Linked DNA regions of Yarrowia lipolytica. The protein of the gene in region 2 purifies or fractionates together with the protein of the main gene of each other region. This does not show direct contact. Links are inferred from orthologs where the notes say so. Each region holds a gene or a part of one and is shown on either strand. Other genes may lie near its edges.

Evidence for each region.
Region 1: the proteins of YALI1_F28453g (region 2) and YALI1_E33024g purify together in Saccharomyces cerevisiae (affinity purification with mass spectrometry; 5 studies listed by BioGRID, with this or other methods). This does not show direct contact. The link is inferred for Yarrowia lipolytica from reciprocal best matches to the Saccharomyces cerevisiae genes RPF1 and TIF6.
Region 3: the proteins of YALI1_F28453g (region 2) and YALI1_B21714g purify together in Saccharomyces cerevisiae (affinity purification with mass spectrometry; 8 studies listed by BioGRID, with this or other methods). This does not show direct contact. The link is inferred for Yarrowia lipolytica from reciprocal best matches to the Saccharomyces cerevisiae genes RPF1 and NSA1.
Region 4: the proteins of YALI1_F28453g (region 2) and YALI1_D32424g purify together in Saccharomyces cerevisiae (affinity purification with mass spectrometry; 4 studies listed by BioGRID, with this or other methods). This does not show direct contact. The link is inferred for Yarrowia lipolytica from reciprocal best matches to the Saccharomyces cerevisiae genes RPF1 and DBP10.

The regions. Positions count from the first base shown.
Region 1 is NC_090774.1:3,298,904-3,305,422, reverse strand, and holds YALI1_E33024g (uncharacterized protein), read left to right. Parts: upstream 1-3,031; coding exon 3,032-3,772; downstream 3,773-6,519. Other genes in the region: YALI1_E33056g (uncharacterized protein), read left to right, coding at 1-2,444; YALI1_E33002g (uncharacterized protein), read left to right, coding at 5,238-6,519. UniProt on the Saccharomyces cerevisiae protein: Binds to the 60S ribosomal subunit and prevents its association with the 40S ribosomal subunit to form the 80S initiation complex in the cytoplasm. Is also involved in ribosome biogenesis.
Region 2 is NC_090775.1:2,840,240-2,847,259, forward strand, and holds YALI1_F28453g (uncharacterized protein), read right to left. Parts: upstream 5,145-7,020; coding exon 4,143-5,144; downstream 1-4,142. Other genes in the region: YALI1_F28393g (uncharacterized protein), read left to right, coding at 1-3,380; YALI1_F28459g (uncharacterized protein), read left to right, coding at 5,713-6,096; YALI1_F28467g (uncharacterized protein), read left to right, coding at 6,496-7,020. UniProt on the Saccharomyces cerevisiae protein: Essential protein. Required for biogenesis of the 60S ribosomal subunit.
Region 3 is NC_090771.1:2,168,474-2,175,618, forward strand, and holds YALI1_B21714g (uncharacterized protein), read left to right. Parts: upstream 1-2,935; coding exon 2,936-4,168; downstream 4,169-7,145. Other genes in the region: YALI1_B21675g (uncharacterized protein), read left to right, coding at 1-2,370; YALI1_B21737g (uncharacterized protein), read left to right, coding at 5,306-7,145. UniProt on the Saccharomyces cerevisiae protein: Involved in the biogenesis of the 60S ribosomal subunit.
Region 4 is NC_090773.1:3,236,765-3,245,238, reverse strand, and holds YALI1_D32424g (uncharacterized protein), read left to right. Parts: upstream 1-2,866; coding exon 2,867-5,647; downstream 5,648-8,474. Other genes in the region: YALI1_D32435g (uncharacterized protein), read right to left, coding at 945-1,817; YALI1_D32369g (uncharacterized protein), read left to right, coding at 8,382-8,474. UniProt on the Saccharomyces cerevisiae protein: ATP-binding RNA helicase involved in the biogenesis of 60S ribosomal subunits and is required for the normal formation of 25S and 5.8S rRNAs.

The DNA.
Region 1 (6,519 bases), on a different chromosome or scaffold from region 2:
GACTGCCCAGCCAAAGCCCTCCTCCCGACGAGTTGTCCCAGAGCCCCGCCTTCTCCAAGGTGCTGCAGAATGCCATCAAGTACAAGCAGCGACAAAAGGACGAGTACGTGGGCCAGGACCACATTCTCATGGCCCTTCTCGATGACTCCTCTATTGAGAGCATTCTCAAGGAGTGCGGTATTAAGAAGGACGTCATGGAGGCCAACATCACAGCCGTGCGAGGAAAGCGACGAATTGACTCGCGAACCGCTGACGGAGCCGACGAGTTCGAGTTCCTCAACAAGTATGCCATTGACATGACCAAACAGGCTCGAGAGGGTAAGATTGACCCTGTCATTGGCCGAGAGGAGGAGATCCGACGATGTATCCGAGTGCTGGCACGACGAACCAAGTCCAACCCTTGTCTGATTGGTGATCCCGGTGTGGGTAAGACCTCAATTGTCGAGGGTGTCGCGCAGCGAATCATCGACGGCGATGTCCCCAACGTTCTGGCTAACTGCCAGCTCTTCTCTCTCGATCTGGGAGCTCTCAAGGCTGGTGCCAAGTACCAGGGAGACTTTGAGGAGCGAATCAAGGGTGTTCTCAAGGAGATTGAGGACTCCAAGGACATGATCATCCTGTTCATCGATGAGATCCATATGCTCATGGGTGATGGAAAGGGTGATGCTGCCAACCTGCTCAAGCCCATGCTTGCTCGAGGTTCCCTCCACTGTATCGGTGCCACCACCAACGAAGAGTACCGAAAGCACGTTGAGAAGGATGCCGCCTTTGAGCGACGATTCCAGAAGATCGACGTGCGAGAGCCTACTATTCGAGAGACCGTCGCCATTCTGCGAGGTATCCAGAACAAGTACGAGCTGCATCACGGAGTCCGAATTCTGGACTCTGCCCTGGTTTCTGCTGCTCAGCTGGCTTCCCGATACCTCACCTACCGAAAGCTGCCCGATTCGGCCGTCGATCTGGTCGATGAGGCTGCAGCCGCTGTTGCTGTTGCTCGAGACTCTCGACCCGAGCATCTGGACTCCCTGGAGCGAGAGCTTGATCTGCTCATGATCGAGGTCAAGGCTCTGGAGCGAGACCAGCACGCCGACCAGGGTACCAAGGAGCGTCTTGATGCCGCGAAGCACCGAGTGGCTGACATTGAGGAGGAGCTCGGACCTCTGCGAGAGACCTTTGAGCGAGAGCGAGCAGGTCACGTTGAGCTTAACAACCTCAAGCACAAGGTTGATGAGCTCGAGACCAAGGCTCTCGACGCCGAGCGACGACGAGACACTTCCACTGCTGCTGATCTGCGATACTTTGCCATTCCGGATCTGAAGAAGCGAATTGTTGAGCTTGAAGAGGAGAATGCCGCTAAGGAGAAGTCCATGATCAAGGACGTTGTTGGCGCCGACCAGGTAGCTGAGACTGCGGCTCGACTGACTGGTATCCCTGTCACCAAGCTGACCCAGGCCGAGAACACCAAGCTCATCAACATGGAGAAGGTGCTTTCTCGAGAAGTTGTTGGCCAACCCGAGGCTGTCAAGGCCGTTTCCAACGCGATCAGACTGTCTCGATCGGGTCTTGCCAACCCCAACGCCCCCGCTTCTTTCCTTTTCCTTGGTCTCTCCGGTTCCGGTAAGACTGAGCTTGCCAAGAAGCTGGCAGGTTTCCTGTTTGCTGACGAGCAGGCCATGATCCGAATCGACTGTTCCGAGCTCATGGACAAGCACTCCGGCTCCAAGCTGATTGGTGCTGCTCCCGGATACGTTGGATACGAGGAGGGTGGTATTCTTACCGAGGCCCTGATCCGAAAGCCCTACTCCGTTGTGTTGTTCGATGAGGTTGAGAAGGCTGCTCCCGAGGTGCTCACTGTTCTTCTGCAGGTTCTTGATGATGGTCGAGTGCGATCTTCCGCCGGAAAGGTGGTCAACGCATCCAACTGTATCATTATCATGACTTCCAACCTGGGTGCGGAGTTCATCAACCGATCGACCTCGACTACCATTGACCAGTCCACTCGAGACCTGGTCATGGAGGCTGTCAAGGGCCACTTCCGACCCGAGTTTCTCAACCGAATCACCGCTATGGTTGTCTTCAACCGGCTGTCTAAGAAGTCCATTCGACGAATCATCAACATTCGTCTCCATGAGATTTCGAAGCGATTCGAGCACAACAACCGAAACCTCAAACTTCATCTCGATGAGGACGCCATGGACTACCTGGTGGAGAACGGTTACAGCCCCGACCTCGGTGCTCGACCTCTCAACCGACTCATCCAGAACGAGGTTCTCAACAAGCTTGCTGTCATGCTTCTGAAGCACCAGATTAAGGACGGCGAGGAGGTCCGAATCATCCGAGGAGACAAGGGTCTGGAGATTCTGCCCAACCATGACGGCGAGACGGACATGGAGCTGGCTGAAGATTCCTACGATGACTTTGACGACGAGATGGATCTCGACTAAGGTATTTTTTGCTAGGAGGTAGCTAAATATTGTATAAAATAATGAATTAACTGTATAAATGGATCGCTGTATCTCTACAGTAGTGTGTACAGTAACACGAACTGTGGTGGGTAATGATAGAAGAAATGAGAGTAAAACCGAATATTCTGAAAGGGACATTTCGCCCCACCCTTGGTCTGCTTACTAACTGAGTCAATCTCCGATCACAGTCTGAGCCAATGGAGGTATTACAATATATTCCGTAGTAAGTCGATATTCAATTCAAGTATGAGTCCACAAACAGTCGGACTATCTTGTTGTTACATGAATACGATCCGCCACCATACGTACCAAACAGCCTGCCGCAAGACACACACACAATCTACACATATATCGCCACCGGCCCATCACAGTTGCATACTGTCTGCACGTATGACATGACAAGAACTACACGTTGACGAGATCAGTCACAGTATACTCCAGCACGCAGCTGAGCTGCACGGTCATGAAAAAATTGTGCTGCAATGCAAAACATAAAGATAGGCAGTATCCACCGCAAGCCTGAATAACCACACTTCACCCCTTATTCAAAAAAATCAATCAACATAATGGCTACCCGTGCCCAGTTTGAAAACTCTGACGAGATTGGTGTCTTTTCCAAGCTCACCAACTCCTACTGTCTGGTGGCTGTTGGCGGCTCCGAGAACTTCTACAGCTCTTTCGAGGCCGAGCTCCAAGATACCATTCCTATTGTCTACTCCACCATTGGCGGCACCCGACTCGTGGGCCGTCTCACAGCCGGCAACCGACGAGGTCTGCTTGTGCCCTCCACCACTTCGGATGTTGAGCTGCAGCACCTGCGAAACTCCCTGCCCGACGAGGTCAAGATCCAGCGAGTTGAGGAGCGTCTATCTGCTCTTGGAAACGTCATCTGTACCAACGACTACGCCGCTCTTGTGCATCCCGATATCGAGCGAGAGACCGAAGAGCTGATTGCCGATGTGCTTGGTGTTGAGGTCTTCCGACAGACTGTTGCTGGAAATGTGCTTGTCGGCTCTTACTGTGCCCTGTCCAACCAGGGAGGTATTGTCCACCCCCAGACCTCCATTGAGGACCAGGATGAGCTTTCTTCGCTTCTCCAGGTCCCCCTGATTGCTGGATCCGTCAACCGAGGTTCTCCTGTTGTCGGCGCTGGCTGTGTTGTCAACGACTGGATGGCCGTTGCTGGTTACGCCACCACCTCTTTCGAGCTTACTGTCATGAGCAGTATATTCAAGCTCAACAACGACCAGCAGGGCGAGCAGTGGGAGCAGACCAAGTGGTCCCAGCTGTACCAGCAGATGGGTTAAGCACAGCCAGTCTGCTTCTCCTCGTCAACACACTGGTGTGCTGGCTGCAGTGCGAGCTCTACTCAACAGCGAGCATCGCTTAAACTATTATGCATTATGTATTTGGCATGGCCTGACTTCAAAATATGGGTGTGTCTCCAACGGATCAGTATTCCTTTGCATGGCACTATTCGCAGTTTTAATTAGATAGATAATACAAGCTGCCAAGGTGGGATTGTGTACCTGTACCGGTACTTGTAATGAGAGTAGGGTGTGGTATGACAGTGTACTATAACGAATGTCTTTGTAATTGTCTTCCTCCGATGTACTTCAGTGGTCACACACTGCTTATGGAAATAACGTAAGACGTTCCTTAGAAACACGCGCTTGAAGTCACCTCTGTACAGTAGTTTTCTTACATTAAGAAAATCCCACGTTGAAAAATGCTCCAAGCTTCAGCCACTAATGATAAATACTACTGTAGATGAGTTGTATCGTGAAGTCATGAGATCAGTGATTGTTGAAATGTACATGAGAAATCCAAGTAAAGCGGTCAAGCTTGTTGACTTGACCAACTGGGGCGTGTGTCTGTGTACTACAGCAGTAACAGTTCAGCATTCTCCTAAATAACCCTGGCTAATCCTGACTAACCCTGAAATTGTACGACTTCACCACAGTATGTACTGTAGGCCACGATAAGCTGTTCTGGTGCTACACCAAAACTGACAAATATTGGTGCGAAATTCTAGGCGACAACCAAGGCAATTTTTGTATTCTGGCGCTCTATTATAATCCAACTCACGACCCTCACCCCATAAGTAAATATTCGTACTCGTGCTGTACAATTACAGTAACTACTTGTAGTTGAAAATCAACTCACAGTACTACAAAATAGCTTACTAATGTACCCCCTCACTGGGTAATAAAAATACCCAGTACGATAGGTGGAATGACGTAATGTTTCATCCATGTTACACGTTAGAAGTTTCTCTATTGCTGCTAATGTTCAAGCTGAGAACTCATATATTTTTTCAAACCCTCTTCAATCGTTATCTCTTGGCAGATACCCGAGAACGGCATTATTATCTACTCGTCATGTAACTCTTCGCCGCAAGACTACAGTATTGAGTGTGGTTGTGGTTTTGAGCCGTTGGTGGGACAATGGTTTTTTCTTGCTAGTGCATCTGCAACATCACATGATTGGGGTAAGTAGAACCTTGTGGGGATGATGTAAAGATAGAGCAGTGTGTGGTGACAGGGTCTTGTTTATTTTTTTTTCGGCAAAGCAGTGTTGGATACAACCACTATACAAGTCACTCACACCTTGACATCGCATCCTCCCGCCCCTGCTTTAGCTCCCCTTCCGTGTCCACCAACAAAGCTAAACACATTCCCAAGGTTTGTGGGACACATATTACACCTAATTCAAGAAGTGCAGTCTGGCCCACACCAAGGTACACTCACTACAACCTGTCCATCACCACCCATGTCGTACCACGGTGGGCAGCACCCTCCGCCACCCATGGCGCACCCTCCGCATCACCAGAGCCACAACCAGCAGGCTCCCACAGGCTCGTCAAGACGTCTGTCTGCTCAGACCCCCATGGCCCGCAACTCGACTGCCATGAACTCCATTGAGTCCAGCGTCACCCATCTGCTGGTAGCAACCAAACAGCTGCTTGAGAGCCTCACGCAATGGGCCCGCGGAGCAGCCTCTGAACAGGACGTGTCCGACATCTACGTCAATCTGGGCAACGAGTTCAACATTGCCTGTCGAGCGTTTCTCAACGCCGGCTTGCCCGTCACTGACATGGGCGATGTGCCCCAGGCGCTGCGGACGGTGCTAGAAAAGGCGCTAAGCGAAGAAGCATCGCAGGAAAACCTCGATCTGTACCTGCCCAGCATTCGGGAAATCATCATCAACCTGCTTCAGGGTCTGAAGAAGAAACAGGCTGCACTTAGAGCAGCTCAAGGAGCACAGGCGCAACAGATCCCACCTCAACAATCACCCAAAAATTTCCGACCACACCCGCCCCAGCATCAATACGGACCCTCCAGACAGGTCTCAGCACCCACCTCTCTGCCACAGCACAAGGATGATAGAGACCATGTGCGACGGTCTCAAACTATAGGCTCAGCACCTAAGCAGCCAGGATTACCCAGTCCACCGGTGGCCCGACAACCGCCGCAGCCACCGCATATGGCCCCACCAGCTCACATGCCTCCTGGCATACCTGGAGCTATGGCTCAAGCCATGGCCCCTGCCATTCCCCAGGGCTCTCCGACCAGACGCCCGGGATCACGTGGAGACCCTCTGGCAGCTTTACAACGAGGAGAGGCGCTCGAAAGACGAGCATCCAGACGATTCTCGGCTTACCAATACGCCAAACTTACCTCTGGAGCACCTGGAAAGGCCGTTCCAGACATGCCCATGTTGCCATCGACTCCTCTTCCCGACGAGAGTGATTTAGGCGATGTGTCTACGGCTACAGATGTTGGAGGACCTGGAATGTCTTTGTTTCTTAGACTTGGAAATGCTACCAAAAAGGTCAAGGCTGACTCGGATGTCAACATCAACGCTCTGAGACTCCTATTCATCTCCACATTCAACTACTCTCCTGGAGCAGACGATTTCCCCAACATTTACATTCGTGACAAAAAATCTGGAGTGGAGTATGAGCTGGAAGAGTCGCATCTGAGCGATATCCACGACGGAACTATGCTGGTGCTACATGAAGAGGAAGAGAAGGAGAAGGAGAAGGAAAAAG
Region 2 (7,020 bases):
TTTGTGATGCGATTGTCGACTCTGTCCCGGACGTCAACAACTGTATCTTCTGCAAGATGGTGTTCCCCGACATCGGCACTGCTATCCCCAATTGGCAGATCACGGGCATGCTCCAGTGTCCAGGTGTTAGTAGGGCAGTTTGTGGCACTGTCTTGCCTACCAGTGTTTCGCAGACAAGCCTTTCTACTTCATCTTCGACTTCGTTGGTTGCGTCTTCTTCTGACGCTTCTGTGTCCGGATCTTCTGCGTCCTTTCACACCTCTTCCCTTACAATTTCAGTTTCTTCATCTCAGATCAGCTCCACTGTTAACAGCACCTCTGCCGTCTCCAGCACTGCTTTTGTGTCCTCTGACAGCACCACTGAGTCGTCGGTATTCGAATCTTCATCTTCTTCGCCTTCGTCTACTGTTGCTGTCAATAGTAGTTCTGTTCCTGTAACTACCTCCTCTTCTCATTTCTCGAGTGCAGTGCCTTCCAGTCACAGCTCAGCTATTACCTCTTCGACTGTCGATACTACAGCCATCAAGTCTTCGTCTGATGGCTCTGGTTCGATAGTTTCTTCAGCTTCTGTTTCTTCTTCTAATGCCACATCTGGTATTTTTCCTTCGGACATCACCTCTTCTCAGGTGTCTAACTCTGGTTCAGTGTCCAGCAGCTCCGTCCCTAGCAGCTCGATATCGAGCTCTAGTACCGATTCCAGTTCTGGCGTCCCCAGCACTGTCGACTCGTCCTCAACTTCCGGCTTGCATTCTTCTGCCGTGACAACTGGACCGTCTTCATCTCTTTCTTCGACCACTTCTTTCTCCAACTCGACGACTGACAGAACTACCGCTGTCATTCCTCCTGGCACCCGGTCTTCATTCACAGCTTCTCAGACTGATGTTTCTTCGGGGCTGACAGATAGCTCTTCTGCTTCTAAGACTTCGGCCGTTGATTCATCAACTTCCGAGACCTCAGTCTCTAGTGCAGGAACGTCGGCTTCCAGTACTGGAGAATCGTCAGCTAGAACTTCAAAGTCAACTGCTTCTGAAAGTCTCTCGACTTCTGAAGTTTCATCTTCTGGCGTGACCTCTGAGTTGTCAGCTTCCTCAACTGTGACACCTGATGTCTCCAGCTCCTCTCTGTCTTCTGATCCTAGCTCGTCTGTATCCTCTGATGCATCAAGCTCGGTGTCTAACACAGCGTCGGCTAGACCAGTGTCTAGTTCAGATGTCTCCAGCACGGGTTCCAGTTCTGCGGGCAGTTCGGACTCATCTGCATCTACATCGGGACCTTCGGCCACTAATGTCGCATCCACTAGCTCAAGTGGCTCCGCTTCTGTGTCCTCTACAGACAGTAGTTCTGCTTCTTCTGAGACCAACAGTGGCATATCAAGCAATGGCCCTTCAACCGCTTCCACAAATTCTGCCCCTGCTTCTAGTTCTGCTTCCTCAACTGGTCCCAACTCAGACTCAAGCCATGATCCCACTTCTGCCCCTGCTACATCCAGCGATCCAAGCAGTACTGCAAACAGTGTTTCTCAGAGCTCGTCAAGTGCGTCCAGCTTGCCAGGTTCCAGCCTCTCGGCTCCGGACTCTTCAAGCGTATCTAGTTCTTCGGCTTCAGCCAGTGCTTCTTCGCTAGAGTCCAGCTCAAGCAGTGTGACCAGCTCGATTGTATCCAGCTCTGCAGGATCCAGCAGCAGCGACGAGACTTATACAGGTACATCTGCCACTTCAGGCTCGTCAGCGACAGGTTCGTCTTCCTCTGTCTCATCTGACTCCACTTCTGCCTCTACTACTGACTCTTCTTCGTCCAGCAGTTCGGCAAGTGCTTCGTCTGGATCTTCTGATCCAGGCACTGCTTCTGAGAGCGCAGCTGCTTCAGCCTCTGCATCTCGGTCTGCTTCTGCTTCTCCTTCAGCCTCTGTTTCTTCGGACACATCTTCTATCCCCCAGACTTCGGCTAACCTGGTGCCTTCAACCCGGTCCATTCCCTACAATGGCACTGCTCTTCCTCCCGTGGACAATGGTGTTAACCCCACTGCCAACCCCACAGACTCTCCTGTGTCGGCTCTCGGAGATGGTGAGTCCCCTGTCTCCGATGATAGCTCCCCTTCTCCTACTGGTGGTGCTGGAGATGTAAACGGCAATCCTAGCGATGGATCTGGCGACGGCAGCACAAGCGGCAGTAATGGCGGCGACACTAGCAACGGTTCTGGCAACGGTGACTCTAGTGATCCTAACAATAACGATCCTAACAACCCGAGTGATCCCAGCAACCCTGGTAACGATCCCAACGATCCCAACAGCCCCGACAGTCCCAGTAATGACCCTAACAGCGCTGATCCTTTCAATGCCAATAATCCCAGTGATCCCAACAATCCATTAAACTCTAACGATCCTTCGAACAACTCGAATAGCCCCAATAGCTTGAACGATCCCTCTAACGATCCCAGCGATCCGTCTTCTTCCGGTGCTGCTGGCGCCAATGGCGGTTCTCCTGGTAATGGAGGCTCTTCTGGGGGCTCTGGCAACGGTGGATCGGGTAACAGCGGCAGCGGAGGGACAGGATCAGGTAACAGTACGCCTGGATCTGGATCTGGCTCGTCTGGCTCATCTGGAGGTAATGGTGCTCCTGGATCTGGCAGTGGAGGTTCTAGCGGCGGTGGAAATGGTGGTGGAAATGGCGGTAACGGTGGAAATGGCGGTAACGGTGGAAATGGCGGTAGCGGTGGTGGAACCGATGGTGGATCGTCTGGTGGCGTCAGTGGTGGTTCTTCAGGAGGGTCCTCATCAGGATCGTCTGGAGGATCTAGTGGATCTTCTGGATCTAGTGTATCTTCTGGATCTTCTGGATCTTCTGGATCTTCTGGATCCTCTGGATCCTCTGGATCCTCTGGCTCTTCTGGCTCTTCTGGCTCTTCTGGCTCCGGATCGTCAGGCTCATCGGGATCTTCTGGCTCTTCTGGCTCCTCTGGCTCTTCTGGCTCCGGATCGTCAGGCTCATCGGGATCTTCAGGATCTTCTGGCTCATCAGGCTCCTCTGACTCGGGAACTGGTTTTTCGGGCTCGAGCGGTGGTTTTACTTCTGGCGACAACAACAACTCGCCTAACAACTCGCCTGATGCTAATTCTCCTAACTCCCAAAACCCCGACTCTCCTGACAGACCCACTTCTACCACTCCTCACAACAACGACGGTTCGCCTGCTTCGCCTGTGCAGCCTCCCATGGGCTCTCAAGGCACGATTCCCAATCTGCAGGGCAACCGAACCAACTCTACTCGGGGCAACAAATCCGAGGGCAGTACCACGTACGGTGGCCTGGGCGGCAATGGTTCCATGTTTGGTTCCGCCGCTACTGCGATTTCCATGAGTGTGGTTGTTCTGCTGCTGTTCTAGAAAGACTACAACAAAAACTCAAGACTGAAAGGTTTTATTTATTTATAGACTAATGCATGATATTATGGTAACTGCGATATAGTACAAGTACATTACTGTACTTAAATTGGGGTATATTGTACAGATATTGTATTTGGTGAGGTTCCCTCTCCCATAAAGAGAACTGTTCTACCCGACAGACACTTCCCTACACGTACTGGTATTTGGTTAGGGGCATAGTATGAGAACCGGTAGATTTACTGTCAAATTTCTCGTGAGTCAATACTTTAACCCGACATAATACCTGTTCATGGCTAATGAGAGCGGTTCACATCAACTTGCTATACCAAGTGGTGATGATTACTCAGCGTCATAGTACATACTGTAGTTTGTAGTGAAAATGGAGCGTTGTTGACTATTCATGAGATACAATGACCCCTATTCTGTAGCATCCACAGGCAACTCTTGTCACTGATGAGCGCCAACACAGACCTCACAACCCTACACCATTCCACTGTACACTACATACTCGTATGTACATACTGTACATACTCGACACATTACTACACAACACAACATCTCTCTGATCCTCCATAATTAACCAAATATACATTTCTATATCCTTGCAGTCCAATTAAACCACAAGAATGCAAGCGTGCGCCTGCAAATGAAGCCAGCGAGTTGTTGCCGAATCAGATTGAAGCCTTGTTAAGTCTGTATGACTGTCGAAAAGTGTTTGTCGATCTGTGAAAGCGTTCGATCCTCGCTGTGCTTGCAGTTCCCTTACAAATGGAACTTCTTCTTATCCTTATCCATGGCCGATCGATGCTCCCATTCCACCTCTCCTCGAATGCCTCTCTGAAGACGTCTGAGTCTCAGGGTGAACTGAGGACCCAATTCCTGCAGACCCACTCGCTCCTCATTCTTGAACACGTATCTGTGTCTTCGGAAGAAGATCCAGTCTCGCTGGTTATGCAGAGTCACCACCTGACGTCCCACAAACTCCGGTTGCTGAGGAAACATGGATTGGAACAGCCGTCCGACAGTCTTACCCAGTCGCGTGGAAAAGTTGTTGAGAATCAGCTCGGGAATGTGGGTTGTTGATCGGCCGTGGCCCTTGATCTCCTTAGGCATCTTCAAAGATGACACGGAGAAGTACATGGTGGGGCCCTCGGGCAGATGAATAAAGGTCAGGCCGTTCACCTTCTTTTTGTCCTCGTTGATCACCACCAGATCAGTGTAGTCTCTCTCGGCGCACATCTTGGCAATCTGCGTCATTGTGAAGTCTCCCACTCGCTTTTTGAACTCGGAGCCGGGGATAATGTCGTACAAAAGGTCTGCAAAGTCGTAGGCCTGTCCTCGAGCTCGCTTAGAGGTAGTGATCAGTACCTTGGGGGGCTTTCCCTCCTCAAAGTACTCTTTGAACTCATCCTCTCCCTCCATCTCCTGAGCGATGGTCTCATCATAGACTCGCTTGGCCTCGATGGTGTCAGGCACGTTCTCAGCCAGACGTTTCTCTTTGAGCTCGGGGTTCTTGGCCTCCTCCTTGGCTCGTTCCCTTCGCATCTCGTGTCGCTCCTTATTGAGCTTGTGCTTCATTTCCGCGAACACCTTCTTTCGCTTCTCCTTGTTGGCGATCCGAATATCTCGCTTTACCGTTCCCATCGTGTCTTGTAGTGTGCTATGGTGTCCGATTCTCTGCAAAACAAATTTCTTGAAAATATTGGAGATAAAAAAATCCTGCATGAACTTTATGCAGGTGGACAGAGAAGGCAGATTGAGCATACGGAGGGTAGAATGGGGGTTGTGGGGGTGAATGAAGTAATGTGGGTACTAAGATACGGAAATGACTAGAAAACCTTTGAAAGAAGCTACCATTATTCACATACCCCCACGTGGCAGCTATACCAGGACTATTTTATGCTTACTCTCTCCGCCATGTTCATTCAGAATAGGATGTGAAAATGGGACGTGAATTGAACTGGCGTTGGAGCATGTTTAAGCAAGTTTAAATAACTGTTTAGTGTAGTCTGCCTTCTCACTCTCAAATGGCTATACCAGTACTCTGAACGAAGGGGTTGTCTTGCCGCGTGAATCTTTGATATGTCTTGTGCTCATCCTGCTTGACAAGATGGACAAATAACTGAACGATACGAAGCTATTGGTGAAGTTCCTGGGAATGGAGGTTCCACCGTCTCATAACTGTTGGGGCCGAGTTATATGTCAATGGGAGAAAGGGAGGGATTGATATATTGATATATATTAAAAGCACTGGAGGAGTTTCGGAATCGTGGAGCCTCGTTGATTCCTTTTCACTTGGGGACATTGACAGCTGGGAGGGACTTACAGTAGTATGTGTCCCATCCAGCTGAGACCAGACAAGTTTCGAAATCAACTAAGGGCTCAAGTAGTTGGTTTGCACACAGACGGAGAGCAGACACAAAGAAAAGCGGCTCACTGTGTGCTCTATGTTAGTGCGACTGGTTTCATTGAAAAAATTACATGCATGAAAAATGAGACGCGTAAAATCATTTCAATCCATCAGACGCGAAGCCTGTGGGCGCGGTCAAGGATAGGTACATACTGTAGCTACAAGAAGTACCCCGACAGGCGTAGGAGCACAGCATTGGGTTGCACAGCATTGGATTGCATGGGCGTTGGATTGGCGTGTCTGCTAAGGCCCATAGTGCAAGAACCAGACATAAAAATAGACAGAAACAGCTATCCGAGATGTTAGAAAGTTCATCAGAACACACGAAGCTTGCTACGGATGTGAAAGATCTCATACAGGAGGTTTGGAGTCTCTCATCCTCCGTGGGGTTAGGGTAAACCAAAACAGGCAAATGAATCAGTTGATCGAGTGAACTCATACAATGTGTTGTGTCTTGAGGGGTTCTCATACGTTATAAACAATAGCTGGAAAAAAAGAAGTTTTGAATAAGCCCATTACCGGTTCTCACTTTCAGTCTCCTGTTTTGGTCACTAGACATTCACAACCCCATCGATCTACGAATACCTCATACTGAAATCAAGGTTTCAAATTTCACCATTTGGGACGGAGGCCAGACTGTGCTGTAAATACTGTCACTTTAAAGCACTAGTACAGATACGTCGTTATCACCACCCACAACACACCATGGCTATCTTGGAAGAAATCGACGATGTGGACAACATGGACTTTGATCCCGCGGAGTTCGATCCCCGGGCGGTTCTCACCGACGCCACCGCGCATCAGGAGAGTGACGGGCGAGGTCCCATCAACCTGATTTCCAAGGCTGAGCACGAGCGACGAGAACAAGCCAAAAAACAACAGGAGCAACAGCAGGAGCAACAGCAACAGGCCAACCCCATGGCCCAACTTCAGCAGATGATGGACCAGATGAACCAGGGCGGAGGTATGCCCCCCAACATGGGCCAGCAGGGCAAGCCCGGTACACAGGTGTTTGACTCGGAGGAGTTCAAGAACCAGGAGATCCAGGAGTCCGACTTTAAGGACTGGCAAATAGTCTACCCGGTCTACTTTGACAAGAACAAGACTGTGGGCGAGGGCCGACGAGTGCCTCTGGAGCTGGCTGTGGAGAACCCTCTGGGCCAGACCATCGCCGAAGCCTGCAAGATGCTCACCCTGCCTTCAATCTACGAGGCGCACAAGACTCACCCC
Region 3 (7,145 bases), on a different chromosome or scaffold from region 2:
GACAGCAACAAAATGTCGACTTCTTCAGACCACACTGCCAGCCCCGGCACTGCGGGTACAGCCACAGCCCATTCCAGACAAATGTCCAAAAACTCAGACATTCTGAACTACTATCTGGACGATGAACTGCAAGTGGCTGAGGAGGAGGACGCTGAGGAACGAGAAGCTGCCAAGCTTGCCGCTGAAGAGGACGCTGCTCGTCTCAAGGAGGCTCGAAAGTCGAGAGGTAACATTTTCGAAAAACTGCTCGACTTCAGTTCTTTCAACGGTCGATCTACCATGGGTCAGACTACTTCCACACAGGGAGCGCTACCAGTGCCTGACCTGCAGGTTTCTAATCCCGGAGACCCTAAGTCGGATGATTCTGGAGGTGCTGCCTTTGAGTGCACTCCCGTGACCTACCTGAGTCCTGGACCTGAGTCGCCCTCCGATTCGCCTAACAAGAAAAGATTCAACATCCCATCTCCTTTGAAGATGGACGGCAAGCCTAATGCCCGCACGTCTCTGGCCACCGCATTCATGCCCTTGACTCCTTCTTCCATTGCGCCGTCTATCCCTTGGCGGTCGTCTTCTCTGCCCACTCCGCTGGAGCCTCTTCCTGAAGCCATGATTCTGAGTCCTGCTCGACACGGAGGCTCTTCACACGATGCCTCGCCTAGAGCTCATTCCGTTTCGGGCACGTCTGCCACGTCTGGTGGACCCACAGTTTCTGGAACAACCACCCCTGGCCAGTACACCATTTCGCCTCCCTTGGCTATCGACAATGAAGTGGCCTCTTTCCAGCAGCCCACGGAAATCAACTACTTCACAACCCCCAAGGTGAATTTCACTTCTCCTGCCATGAGCGATCTGGATGCCGAGATTCGGTACTATCTGGCCACTCGCCCTGCATCAACGGCTAGAAAACTGCCCAAGAAGAAGCCTGCTCCCCATTCGTCATCGCCTACTTCAGATAGTAATCAGTCCACGCCAAAGGCCTCTGGAGCTGCCACTCCTCGCCCCGCGTTTGCTCCTCCAGCAATGTTCCAGACAGAGGCTCATGACTTCCAGCACGACAACCAGCTGCATCCTCAGCTGACGCAAATTCGAAACCTCGCACAGACCCAGCAGGTCCATGCCATGCATCAGCTGCTGCCCCAGTACCAGGGTATGGCTCAGGTCCCCAGCCAGGCTTCTCTGCAGCAGCATTATCCTGTGCAGCAGCAACATCATCCTGGTGTCCCTCAGACCCCGAAGCCCATGTCCATTCTTGAACAGATGGCTGCCCAGCAACAGGCTGCTCGAATGACCCCCATGACTCAGAGTAACTTCTACGTGAGCCCCATTCAGCCCTTATCTCCTGTTCAACGACAGATGGCCCAGACTCCTCAGATGTCTCTTCTGGAGCAGCTCCAGGCTGCCGGTCGACAGACCCCCCAAGTACACTACTCACCCGTTCTGTCTCCTGTTCAGCAGCACACTCCTGTTGGTAGCATGACTCCTGTTCAGGGCCAATACACTCCTCAACAGGTGGCTCAGTATCAGCTGATGGAGCAGCTCAGCCAGCTTCAGCAGCAGCAGGCTTCTCAGGCCCAGAATACCCAGCACTACCAGGTATCCCAGGCTCAGGCGCAAGCTATTGCCCAGCAGCAAGCTGCCGCCCAGTATCAGGCCGCTGCCCAATATCAGGCTGCCGCCCAGTATCAGTATCAGCAGATGGCTGCTCTTGAACAGCAGCTCGTTGCTCAACAACAGGCCCAACTTCAGGCTCAGGCTCAAGCGCAGGCCCAGGCCCGAGCACAGGCCCAGGCTCAGGCCCAGGCTCAGACCCAGGCTCAGTATGTTGCTGAGCAGCAGGCCCAGCAGCAGGCCCAGCAGCAGGCCCAGCAGCAACTCGCAGCCCAACAGCAGGCTCAGCAGCAGGCCCTGTTGCAGCAGCACCAGAACCAACAGCTTTCGCAGTTGCAGCAGTTGTCACAACTGGAGCAGCTCCATATGCAGCAGCAGGAGCAGATGGCTAAGATGGCTGCCTCGCAACTCACCCCCACATCCATGTCGCCTTCTCAAATGTCGGTGGCTTCCTTCCCCGACCTGGGAGTTCCTCATCCGGCCATGTCCCGAAAGGCGTCGGAGTCCTCACTCAATTCCGCCTCTTCGTCAACTGAGAACAACTCGTTGAACGACCTGTTCAACCAGATCACTCAGCAGGCATCCAATACTTCTTATTCATCGGCCCAACAGAGTCTCCTGGGTCATCGATCCACCCATTCCGGTGTCTCTGGCATTTTCCACCCCCGTCAGGCCAAGGGAAGAAGCCCCGTTGAGAAGACCGGTTTCCCCATCGGACACTCTCCTAGCACTTCCGTCAACTCAGCTAATAATTCTTTTTAGGAGTATCTAACTTATTATCATTATGTATTATGCCCATGTCTTGTAGACTTGCCTTGTTTATACATGAGCCATATACTTGTAGAAACCAGCCATGGGGGGCACAAAGCCTGTAATATCCTATCGCATATGTGCCATTCGTGCTTGTTCCCATCAATAAGAAAGTTGACAGTCACAGGGAACAGCGAGGACAGCGTCTGTCTCAGATGGTGTTCGGAGTGGCCCATCTGTCAAGCTGACTTCATGACAACAAATATGTCAAGTACAAGTAAGGTAATACTCGTTAATTTGTACAATTATCGACTTATTTAAGAAGTTCTTTCCTGCTCAACGGGTGAAGAAAAGTGTTCAAAAGTAAATCATCTTGGTGGCAATTCAGAAAGCTGCCCCCCTCCTCCCCCCGTGTAATTCAACAATAATCGGAGTCACCATTTTCTCTTTGTATCACAGCCCCCTCTACTTATTCGCTTCGCTCAAGACCGACTGCAGAAACTCTAAAAAAATTCATGCACGCAGTCTGACAACATCGTATCTCGAGCAAAGTCTGGGAATCACATTACAGTACACAATGAAGATTTTTCTGGCCGCCGAAGATACTGGAGCAATCAAAGAAGTTGTTTTTGACGAGGGAATGGACACCTCGGTCCAGGACGGACCTCAGCCCCTCATCACATCCTTCGCTGCTCTTGGTAAACTGAAGCACATTCAAAAGCTGGCCCTGGTCACCACATCAAAGGGCACCAAATACATTGCTGCCGCGCGAAAGAACGGTACCATTGAAGTCTACCCATACCTTTTGACCGAGGAGTCGACTCCGATTTTCGTCTACTCTGCTGAGGGGGCAGAAAAATGTCCCTGGATTGGTCTTACCCAGTATGACGACAATACTGTGGTTGCCGGTCTGGAAGATGGTCGACTCTTTTTCCTCGATGTTTCGAAGGTCACCATTGAGTCCGACAAGCCATACGACGCCCCCACTGCCTCTGTCAAGGGCCCCTTGGCATGCTTCGCTCTGGACAGGGAGCTGTATCCTGGCAAGATTGCCGTGGGTGGAAAGGAGCGAGATTTGGAGGTGTTTGGATGGGCTGTTAAAGGTGACGAAGTCACCGTGAGATCCGAGTTTCAGGCCCGAAATGTCAAGTCCAACGAAATCGATATGCGGGTGCCGGTGTGGATTTCTGGAATTCTTTTCCAGGCTTCTGACAAGGATGGATTCAGAGTCATCACTGCCACCAGACATGGACAGATCAGAGTGTATGAGACATGGCATGGAAAGCGACCGAAGTGGGACTTCAAGGTGACAAAGGATCCTCTGCGAACCTTGGCACCCGGTATGGATGCCTCCAACGTCGTCTCTTCAGATGCCCACTCCTCTACGTTCAAGTTCAACTTTGCAGACAATGAGAAGATTGTACTGAAAAACAAAGACAACAACCAGAACAAGGAACACAACAGAAAGTCTCCCTGTGTCGTCGAGAAGTTCCCCGGATCTCTCGGTGCCGTTTTGCATTTAGTTACCACCGACAATGGTTTGTTGGCTACCGTTGGTCTTGACCGATACCTTCGAATTTTTGATCTCGAGACCACCGAGTGCACTGCAAAGATGTTCGTGGGTACCCAAGTGTCCTCTCTGCTTTTCGTGGATACCGAGCGAAAGACAGCCCAGGAAAAGCATGTGGAGGAAACAGCTGAGAAGGAGGATGACGAGCTGTGGAACGATCTAGACAAGGTCGAGAAGAAGAGCAACAAGAGAAGGGTCGCTGGCAACGACGAGGGCAAGAAGAAGCTCAAGTCGGCGTAGATGTAATTAATGTATTATAAGATTTAGAAGCAGTGTCTTCAGAACCAGAACAACCAAAAGGAAGTGCAGTAAGAGCGAATTTCATAAAGATAGAATATGGTCACAACCATCGAGACTCAGAGAGCGTGGGTATTGTACATCATAGCAGGTCTGGTATCTTACATGTGGCAAATCTAAAACTGTCTTCCAGGGAGTTTTGCGATGGGAATCAAACGATGAAACATATTCATCGTGTCATTTGTGTCACCAAACATGTCAGAGAACGGATGTGTCAGCACTACTCGCACATCACTAGCACTTTTACAGTAATTAGTAGTGTACCCAATAGTATATACTTTAATTTACAGTATCTGTACCGCCGTAGTTGGTTTATGAACGTACTGTAGTTGTAACGCACACAGACTCAACTGACCATTCTGCAAGCTCGGGCTGACGTTGAAGAATATCCCCTGTTTGTCTCACATTTTAATATCTTCGCTCTCGAAACTGTATGTGAGTTTGATGTACGTAGTCTCAGGATGTGCCACATTCCTATAATTATACCGTAATTTAGCTCTTCTCATTCCAAGTGTTGTTGTTGTAATTTGATTCATGGCCGTAGCTGTAATATCGTGGGAGTCCAGTGACCCCTACTTGTAGCGCAACGCTACACAATGATTACAGCAGTGTTGCAGCTGAAATGCAGGTGTACAGTGTGCTGTATAGAGTGGCATGTGGACCACCCAGCCCCCTATATAGTAGTAAAGAAGGGGACATAGAAGCAAAGGGGTGAAGGCTCATGTGAGTAGATAAAACCCTGAGATGTAAAAAATTATGCGAATCTCCTTCAGCGCCCCAAAAATATATAACACTACTTGTAAGGGCCTGTTGCAGCCCCAATAAACTCTCTTATCTCACGGCCACATGCATCGTGTGCTTGTTTGGGAATTGTAATAATAATGGTCCGAAGTTTAACCAGACTAACAGGATCAAAGCGGAGGAGCATGGCAGGGATTTTCGACACATCACATCGACAGAAACACATTGCGCTGGTTCACAAAAAGGGCACGCTACAGATATTGAACACGCAACTGAAAGACAGACACACACTACTGATCCCTGACAACACTACAACTTCACACGGCCACACCATCGCACATGTACACAGTGCCACCACAATACCACGGGTATGGGGACCCAAACCCATCGCCACACCTAGCCAATGCCGACCAACTGATGGACAATGTGTTTGTGGGTGCTCCTCAGCCGAAGGGTATGCAAAAGGTGCTCAAAAGGGTGAACAAGACTGTGCATAAGATGGGCAAGCGAGATCCAGGCTCAGGGACGGACGACTCGGACTTTGAGTATCAGCACGTGGAGGATGACCATGAGGTAAAGAGGGCCGAGCGAGGCAAAAAGACTAGGGCCAAAAGCAATTCCAAGAAACCGGCCTCTTCTCTGGGAATCGGGGATCTCTTACCTACTGAAGAAAACAACGCTTCCCCTGAAAAGTCGCCCAATAAGAAGATTACGAAGACGAAAAAGAAGAAGAGCAGCTCGCGCAAATTTCAGTCCGATCCTCTCATGTACCAACACGACTCGTTGGCTGTCGACGAAGAAGACCCAGCATCTCGACCACCCCTACCACCTCCCCACAATCCTTACATGCTGTATCCGACACATGTTCCTTTTGGTTCTCACCAAACCCCCTATGATTATTACTTCATGCAGCGTGAGATGCAACGACAGAATGCGGACTACTGGAGAGACTTCCAGTTAACCCAGGCTCATCAGCAACCCCAACAGCAGCGTAGAAAGAAGGACAATAACTTCGCCTACATTTCACCCGGAGACAATGCCTATTATACCAGTCCGGAAGAACACCAACGCAAGCAGTACGAGAAGATGATGGGACAGCAACGCCAGCCGGGAAGCTGGGATGGAATAATAGACCCTACTCAGGACCAGGAGTTCGGGTTCCGGTCCAACTACAACCCGTGGTTTGGAGCACCCATGGGGCATGCTTTGGGGGGAGTGCCCATGCAACATCCAGAACCTCCTAGAAATGATCCTAGTGAACGAGAAAGAGGTTTAGAGGAAGAGACATCTACCCAGGTAACTGTTGAAACAGGCTACACAGAAATAACTGGCTCTAGTGGCTCTGGGTCGGGTACTGGCTCATCTGACTCGGCGGGGTCTGAACATCGTTCAGCTACTTCTCAGGCAACCAAAAGAAACTTGTTTCCCAACTTTGGAGCCTTCATTCCCCCGCCAAGTCATGATGAAAAGGTCTCTCGATTCTCAGCCAAGAACATCTTTGGTAAACGTACCGTCAGTGGGTCTCGAGAATCGTTGGCGTCAAGGGGAGATACCGAGTCGTCTGTGTCCCGTGACTCTGGTTCACACGACTCTGGTTCACGAGTGTCGGCCTCATCCTCCCGCCATCCACTCCCTGTCCCTTCTTCTCCAGGAAGTTATGTTTCGTCCACAACCTCCTTTTCTCTCAATGATGACCCGATCCGCCCTCAGAGCAGTGTTTCTCAACGAGGAATGATGATGCCCCCAATGCAACGAGGCAACACTCCTTACAATATTGGAGGTGAGTATGCCATGCCTGAAATTCCTCTTCCTCCTCACACTGAGTCTACAGTTTCAGCTTCCGAGGAGCATTCTCGGGCACTTTACAATGTTTGGACTGGTCTGACCTCCACTGTCAAGGATTGGGTCAGCTCTTATGATCAGAACAGCAACCTCAAATCTGAGGTTGTTGCTGACAACTTCTTTTCCCAAGTGTACAAGAATGCCTTTGGACAGTCAGTGGATGTTGCGGGTAGCTACTCTGATACATCATCCTCTTTCGTCCCGCAAGAGATTCCTCTGCCTGAAGATCCCTCAGACGACGAGTTTGATGCACGATCCATGATGGAGGAAGATACCGTAGTTGGCGAGATTCCAGCAGGAGGAGCCGGAGCCGGCCCTGTCATCTACGAGGAGGATA
Region 4 (8,474 bases), on a different chromosome or scaffold from region 2:
TATCAACACAGACACCGGACGAGACTCGGCTCAAGTGAAGTAGTGGTTGAACAAGTGACTTTGTATGTCCGCAAAGGTGGCATACTATGGTCGTAGCTGCGTGGGGACTTGACATCAGCATCAGACGCATAAACAATCACACCTCAGTCAAAATACTCTCTGGAGACAGTTTGGAGACAAAACATGATTGCAATCTCTGATTTGAGTGGAATGGGCAATTGTGCGAGCACGAGCGCGTTTGAGCCACTTGGAGGGTATTTGCGCAACCCAATGCAGATTTGGAGACAGAACCTGATTCCGTCCTCTGGTTTGACTGTATAGTTTGGGGAGAGTGGTAGGGCGACAGGCAGACGGGATGCAGGCTGTGTGACATCGTCTGTGTCAGTGTATATGTCGCTTTCGTTTGGAGTGAGGTGTGAGAAGAAGAGTTGGGCTAGAGGGCGTTTGGAGTAAAGTGTCAGCGTCAGAATGCACTCACTGTATAAGTGACAAGAGTAATACCGGGTTTGTAAATATAGACCGAATATTGGAAAAGTGATGTGGAAACTGCTGTTGGAATTGCGAGAGGACTGTTGTGCACTTTTCGCCGACTCGATATCTCTAAAACTGGGTGAATTGAAGATCGTTAGGTGACGGTTTACTAAATAACCCCAAGTAAATAATTAAAGTCAAGTAAAGAGTCAAGTAAAAGTCAAGTAAAGTCAAGTAAAAGTCAAGTAAAGTCAAGTAAAGTCAAGTAAAGTCAAAGTAAAGTCAAGTAAAGTCAATTAAAGTCAGTAAAAATAGTTCAAACATTACCACAATAGACAATCACTCATCAATAAATCACTATATACATATATACACTTAATTGGCGCACAAGAAGCACTTCAATAGACTGCCTTGTGGTCAGAAACTGTCGTTCAAACAGTCATATGATGTAGTCGATCGGCTGCTCGCTACAATCAAAGCTCCACGGTGACCGGCTTTGTATCTCTCTTGGGATACCGTCTTTCCTTTTCCCTGTTGAAGAAGTCCTGGTCCTGCTGGTGTCTACTTTTGGGCACCTCGGCGCCGTCTTTCTGCTCTTCGAACGCCTGAGCAATATCTCCAAAAATGTCGTCCGGCAGTTCTCCAGGTACTCCCTGAGGCTGAGGACCTCCAGCAGTAGCGTTTCTGCCCTTTCCGACCTGAACATAATCGGCGTTATCAAACTCGGAAATATGTCTTCCTTCAACTTGAACAAAGCCGGAATCGGCCAGTTTGCTGAGAGCCGGGTCTTCTCGGCCGCCGTCCAGCGAAAAGGTATCTCTGTGTCGTTCTCCCTCGGTCGCAGCGGTCTCCAGAAACTCGTATTCGGGGACACTCACATACTTCAACTTGTCGGCCACTCCGGGAGCCAGATTGTAGTCTCTAGTGATGTCTGTTTCGCCAGCCTTTTGCGACTCGAGAATTCCGGAGATGGTGGCCGGGTTCAGGAGCGTTCGGGGCTTGCTAAAGTCCCCAGACTCGGCCTCAGCGGCCTCATCCAGGGCCTCGCGAGCCTTCAGAGCCTCCAAAACAGGATTGCTCTTGCTGTATTGGACCTCAGACTCGGTCAGTTTGACGGCCCCGAGATCCATGAGCTGCCGCGCGAAATCTCGGTCCCCGCCGTCCCTGACAATGTCCTCGTTCTTGGTCTGCGAAGCCATGGGCATGGGAGCCGGTTGCGACCGATTGGGGTCGGCCGTCTCTTGGCGAATGTGCTGATGTTTGGTTTTCACGGACAGATCGATGGCGCGCTTGCCGGCCTCGGCTGCGGGCTGGAAACGCTTCGCCTTACTTGCGGAAGAGCCCATGGTGGTTGTGGAGGTCGAGGAGGTTGTTGATCAGACTGTGATCTGGACAGTGGTGATCTGGAAATGATGGGAGTGAATGTGTTTGTGGGTTCGATTCGAGGTTGGGGGCATTTTGGAGAATAATGAATACTGTCTGGAATGAGCTGGGAGCAGGCTTAATTTGATCATACTGGTTTGAATAGAGAAACTGTTAATTTATCAGACAAATTTGACCACTATTAGACATTCTATAAGACACGTTTAAGACCGGTGGCGAATGAGAAATCATTGAATCTGCCCAAGCTATAGTAAAACAATATCAAATTGAGAAAATAATGATATGATTGGAATGGTGGCGTTTGTGGTTGACCATTGGTACTAGTTTTAGTCTTAGTTTTTATTGATTTAATCGGACTTTCAGACTAGTTCAAGCAACGATCACTTATTGTCTCCTATGCTCAGAGTCTCTATACAAGCACTTAGCTAGCCATGGGGAAGAGCTACAAGAAAATGGAGTTCACCATTGGATTTCTCTTGATCTAAGCTATCCACTGATTCTATTACTTTTTCTACATTTTCAAAATTACTCATTTTACGAACAGTATGAGGTCTGAATTGAGAATGGGTTTAATGAGCGTTCTAGTTGAGCTGAAACATACTAGAAGATACCAATGGACTCCTCTTCCTTCCAGAAATCCATTTCAACCACCCGTTTTTCCTCAATATCTCTTGCGATGTCCATTTTCGCCAACTAAGCAACTGTTCAGGTGGTTGCACGTCTATCTCGGGTTCTACCGGGTCAAAATTTGATTAAGAAAATACACTTAGACTGTTTCATGTTGTATCTATTCTTTCAAATGGTTCAATTTCTCGCTCTCTTCAAGTTCGCATGTTGCAAGTAATGTCGTGCTCAAACTCGAACTGACGAGGTTTCGATTTTTCTTGAAAATATATATATATATATATTTAAAGTTATCCTCTAATTTTTTTTCCAAACCTTATCTCAATAAATTCTACCTGGAATCTATCCCTATCTCACAGCCTACTACATACCACACTTCAGCACGAAAATGTCCGACAGTGAGGTTGAATACGACATTGCGGGGTCTTTGAATCCGGGGGTGGATTCGGAAGACGACTATTCGTCCGGATCAGAGTCCGACAGCGAGATTCCCGACATTATTGAGGACAGTGAAGATGAGACCGGGCCCCAGCAGGGCGAACCGGGCACCATGACTTTCCCCAATCTGGAACTGTCCGATGACGATGACGACGACGACGATGACGACGAGGGCAGAAAGAAGAAGAAGAAAAAGACGGACGACTCGGTGGAAAGCTACTTTGGAGCACCGCAAACGGGCAAAAAAAGCTCGGGCAGTTTTGCTGGTCTGGGTTTGTCGCAGTTGGTGCTTAAAAATATTGCACGAAAGGGGTTCAAGCAGCCGACGCCGATCCAGCGAAAGACGATTCCGCTGGTTCTGGAGGGCAAAGACGTGGTGGGAATGGCCCGAACCGGAAGTGGCAAGACAGCGGCGTTTGTGCTGCCCATGTTGGAGAAGCTCAAGGTCCACAGCGCCAAGGTGGGCGCGCGGGCGGTGATTCTGTCGCCGTCACGTGAGCTAGCGCTGCAGACGCTCAAGGTGGTCAAGGACTTTTCTGCCGGCACCGATCTGCGTCTGGCCATGTTGGTTGGAGGCGATTCGCTGGAGGAGCAGTTCAAAATGATGATGTCCAATCCAGACATTATTATCGCCACCCCAGGCCGGTTTCTGCATCTCAAGGTGGAGATGGAGCTGTCGTTGGCGTCGGTGGAGTACATTTGTTTCGACGAGGCCGACCGGCTGTTCGAGCTGGGTTTTGGTGAGCAGATGAACGAGCTGTTAGCGTCGTTGCCCAGCAACAGACAGACTCTGCTGTTTTCCGCCACGCTTCCCAAGACGCTGGTGGAGTTTGCCAAGGCTGGTCTTCACGACCCGATTCTGGTTCGTCTGGATGCCGAGACCAAGTTGCCAGAGCATTTGGAAATGACGTTTTTTGCCGTCAAGGAGAACCAGCGAGACGCCTGCTTGGCCTTCATTCTCAAGGAGGTGATCCAGATGCCGTTTGCAACGCCGGAGCAGCTCAAAGAGCTCGAGCGACTGGATGAACGGGCCATTGACGACGGAGAACGGGATGAGGACCGGAAACAAAAACGGCCCAAGTTCAAGAAAGAACGGCTGCCCCCTGCGCACCAATTGCCCTCGGAAAAGTCGACCATCGTCTTCTGTCCCACCAAGCATCATGTGGAGTATGTCATTGTCTTGCTTCAAACTCTGGGGTACGCGGTTTCGTACATTTACGGCACGTTGGACCAGCATGCTCGTAAGAACCAGCTGTATCGGTTCCGCACGGGCAAAACGTCTATCTTGGTGGTCACTGATGTGGCTGCGCGAGGTATTGATGTGCCTGTTCTGGCCAATGTTATCAATTATTCGCTTCCTCCGTCCCCCAAGGTGTTTATCCATCGTGTGGGTCGAACAGCTCGAGCCGGCAACCGCGGATGGGCTTATTCCATCATCAAGGACAACGACATTCCGTATCTGTTGGATCTGGAGGTGTTTTTGGGCCGCAAGCTACTGACTCCTCGGTTGTTCAAGCAACAGAATCCCGACCCTTCGGCCGAGCCCGATTACGTCAACACTCTGACAATTGGAGCTCCTCCGCGCCAGGCGCTCGAAATCCACGGCGAGGAGCTCGCCCAGATGGTCAAGGACTCGTACGAGCTGCAGCAGCTGTCGGAGGTTGCGGTCAAGGGCGAGCGAATGTACAACAAGACCAAGGGAAGTGCTTCTCAGGAGTCGGCCAAGCGGTCAAAGCAGATTATGGCACTGGGATGGGACGACCATCATCTCATGTTTGGCGAGGATGGCGAGTCTGCCAAGGACGCGTTGTTGGCACGATTGGGCCAGAAGCGCATTCGAGAAACGGTGTTTGAGTTCCGCAAGAGCAAAACCACCTCTGGCGCCGAGATGATGGCCACTCGTCGGGCCCAGCTGGCTCCGATCCAGCGCCGGGCCGCGGAAAAGCGTGCCATTCAGGAAAAGGAGCGGCTGGCGGGTCTGGTTCATTCGCAGGATGCGGAGATTGCCCGGTCTACCGAGGAAGATATGGCTACCGAGGCGGATCTCACCGGGTTCACTACGGAGGAGGATCTTCGGGCGGCCAAGAAGGCGCAAAAGTCCAAGAAGCGCTCCTTCAGAGACTCGGAGAACTTCATGTCCCACTACGCACCCACCAACGACGATAAGGGCTATGCTGTGGGCAACTTTGCCGGGGCTGCGTCCAATGCCACGTTTGATCTCATCAACGACGGCTCGGAAATGCAGCAGAAACAGGGCATGAAGTGGGACAAGAAGAAGGGTAAGTTCATCAACGCGGGCTCGGAGGGTGGCAAGAAGTTCATTCGAGGTGAGGGAGGCCAGCGAATCGCCGCGTCGTTCCGGTCGGGCCGATTCGATAAGTGGAAGGCCGCCCACAAGGTCGGCAATCTCAAGGTTGGCGCTCTGGAGGAGTCTGGGCCTGCCACTAAGCGGGTTTTGTCTGCGCGAGAGTTCAAACACAACAAAAACGAAGCCCCCAAACGAGCCGACAAGTACCGAGACGATTTCCACAAGCAAAAGACCAAGGTCGCCGCTGCCAAGGAAGACGGACGAATCCAGAAACCCCAGCCCAAGAGCGAGCTCAAGTCCACCGCCGATGTTCGAAAGAGCCGAATCCTGGCCGAGAAGCGCAAGCAGAAGAATGCCCGGCCGAGTCGGGGTGGCAGGGGTGGAGGTCGTGGAGGTCGTGGAGGAGGTCGTGGAGGGCGTTAAGAGGAGTCTTCGGAGGATTGGGGTTGATCGAGGAGGTCGCTGGTTAGGTGGTTTTTTGTTTGGTCACGTGAAAAGTCACGTGGGTCTTCTGGAGGGCGTCGTTTAGTGACTCTTTTGGGGACTTCTATGATGAGTGTTTGACCTCACATGTCCTCATGCTCGCAGTTGATCTCACATGTACATCTGACACCACCACCACCACCAACCACCAATCTCGACTCGCCGAAGTTTCTACACACTCTTGAAGAACAAACCCACCCATCTACTACCATGTCACGAGAACATTTTGTTTCGTCTCCGTTCCATCTCCTCATCACGAGACTGGAATATTTCCGAGCCACGGCCCATTGCACTATAGAAAATAAAACTAGAATATCACGTTTATAAAAAAAACCCAGAATTGTTCTCAAGTAATTCCCAACAAATGACCAAGTAACGTTGACTTCGATAGGATAAGAAATGCTCCACAACTCGAGATTTTGTATGATAAAAATTACCAGAAATATCATTTTTGTCATCAAATCCTTCATTATCTATCGTCTGGTATCCTTTTTGTGGCTTCAGCATCTCTGGAACACCAAATTACATACATACCCCCAGTGCACTTCAACTATTTCTCAACTATTTCCCAACTATTCCAAACCTGATTCCATACTGACTTGAACTCCTGCGTGTCCAAATCCATGATATAGCTGCGCGTGCTAAGTTTCGACTCTCGACCGCACGTCATTTCTCCTCCAGTAAAAATAAGTCTCCGGCAACGTGATATTCGCCTTGGTGGGACAACGCGGAAAAAGAGGAAAAAAGAGAAAAAATTAGCAAAAAAGAGAAAAAGCCGGTGCACGAAAATGAATCACGTGATTGGGTAATCGCTGGTGTTATAAGGTGACACTCTCTAAAGGCTGTACTTTTAGTTCTATATTTTTTTGTTTGTATTTTATATTTTATATTTTATATTTTTTTTATATTTTATTATTTTATATTTCTACTTCTATTCAGCCGTCTTGTTATGTTCTTTTTGTAGATCCAACTTTACAGTCAGGAGAACCATTCCCAGCACGTGTTGAAGGAGAAATTGGTGGTCTTTTTGAGCCTTGGGTCTTTTTTGGGTCTTTTTTGGGTCTTTTTCGAGTCTTTTGGGGGTATTTTGGGGGCCATACTTCGGTCTTTTTTTGGGCCATTTTTCGGTAACTTCTTGTCCCCTTGGCAATATAAAATTGCCCAATTACGTTTTTACTCATCTGAAACGTCGCGTGAAGAGTTGCACGAAGAAATTCTTCTGGTATGGGGTTGTTTTTTTTTTTTTCCTTTTTTTTTTTTTTTTTCTACGGCGGTGTTGGAGGAATAAATTTTGTAATGAATAAAAAAAAATTATATATATATATAAAAACTCATAGACAATCACACCCTCGCTTAGCGGAAAATACGACCGTGTTCCCCCGCCGGGGGCTCCATTTTGAGACCCCAAACGCCCTCATAGACCCACTTGTGGCCCCTGTGAAGACGCCTGCAAGTAGTCCCAAAAATGAACCAAAACAACATCGAGGAGATTTGGGAAGGCAGTAGACAGAGCAAGGAAGGTTGGAGGTGATCGGGAAAAATCGAAAATAAATACTACTGACTCCAGAGACGTTATTTGCGCTGTTAAAATATACCTGTTTCTACTAAGTCAGATTCTACAGTTGTTTTTTTCTCGCCATCGCCCAATTCAAATAAACTTAACCCGCGGTTCAGGACACGCTTGGAACATGCCACAAATCGGCCGGCCAGGCCCCAGAAGTCACGTGACACGTTGGCGGGGCAAATGTGTGTGTTTTTGTTTTTGTTTTTGTTTTTTTCGTTCTGATTTCAGCCATTTTCCCCTTCTTTCCCGATTTTCCCCTTCTTTCCCAATTTTCGCTCAATTGAATCGTCACCTATTCCCTCGGTTCAAGAGCAAGAATGAATCACCATTGCACTAGACGCTAATTAAACTTTCAACAAAGTTCAAAGAAACCCAAGTAAATAAACATAAATAAAAGATGAGAAAATAATTCAAATGAAACAATTCAACCATTTAACGTTGCTATTTGCCGCATTTTTGTGGCATTTCCCTACCGTAGAGCACATGATGTACCCCAAACATGATGGCCCCTCGCTCTCTCTCCCAACCTCCCCCACATATCACGTGATTTTCTGACCCCTTCTGATTTTCATCTCTCTCCAGCAACTCTAAGCGAAAAATATTCATTTAAGTTCGCAAATTGACAAGGTTTCAGTATGATCCAAAAATAAGTTTTCAGTAGACTTTCTCATACACTTTCACATAAACTTTATGTTCAAACCTTAACAAGTCCCAACTTATATACATCATGGCCCCCACCAAATCTCTTCTTCTTCCTTAAACGGTCTTCATCCCTCTCTTACGGAAAGTGACGACGACAAAACTGATGGCGTTGGATTAATCTCAGACTCCACAAAGCGACCTTCCTCTCTCCTCCAGCTGCAAACAGTACCGGAAACAGTACCTAGAAGACCCCAAGTCTTCTAGCCACAGAAACGGAAACAGAAACAGGGAATATCACTATTACCACTTCGACCGAAAAAAATCAAAAAAATCTCAAAAAAATTACAAAAATTGGAACAAATTGGAACAAATTGGAACAAATATCTTCTTCTTTTTCCGACCTTTCGACCAACGACTTGCGACTTTCGACTCGACAAAACCCTTGAAACGACCAACGAATTCGCTCCGATGACTCACTTCACCCCTTATGTCATCCCCTCACCTCCCCAGACGCCAGTCTACGTCAAGGACCACCTCGACGTCCTGAGCATGGACATGGAC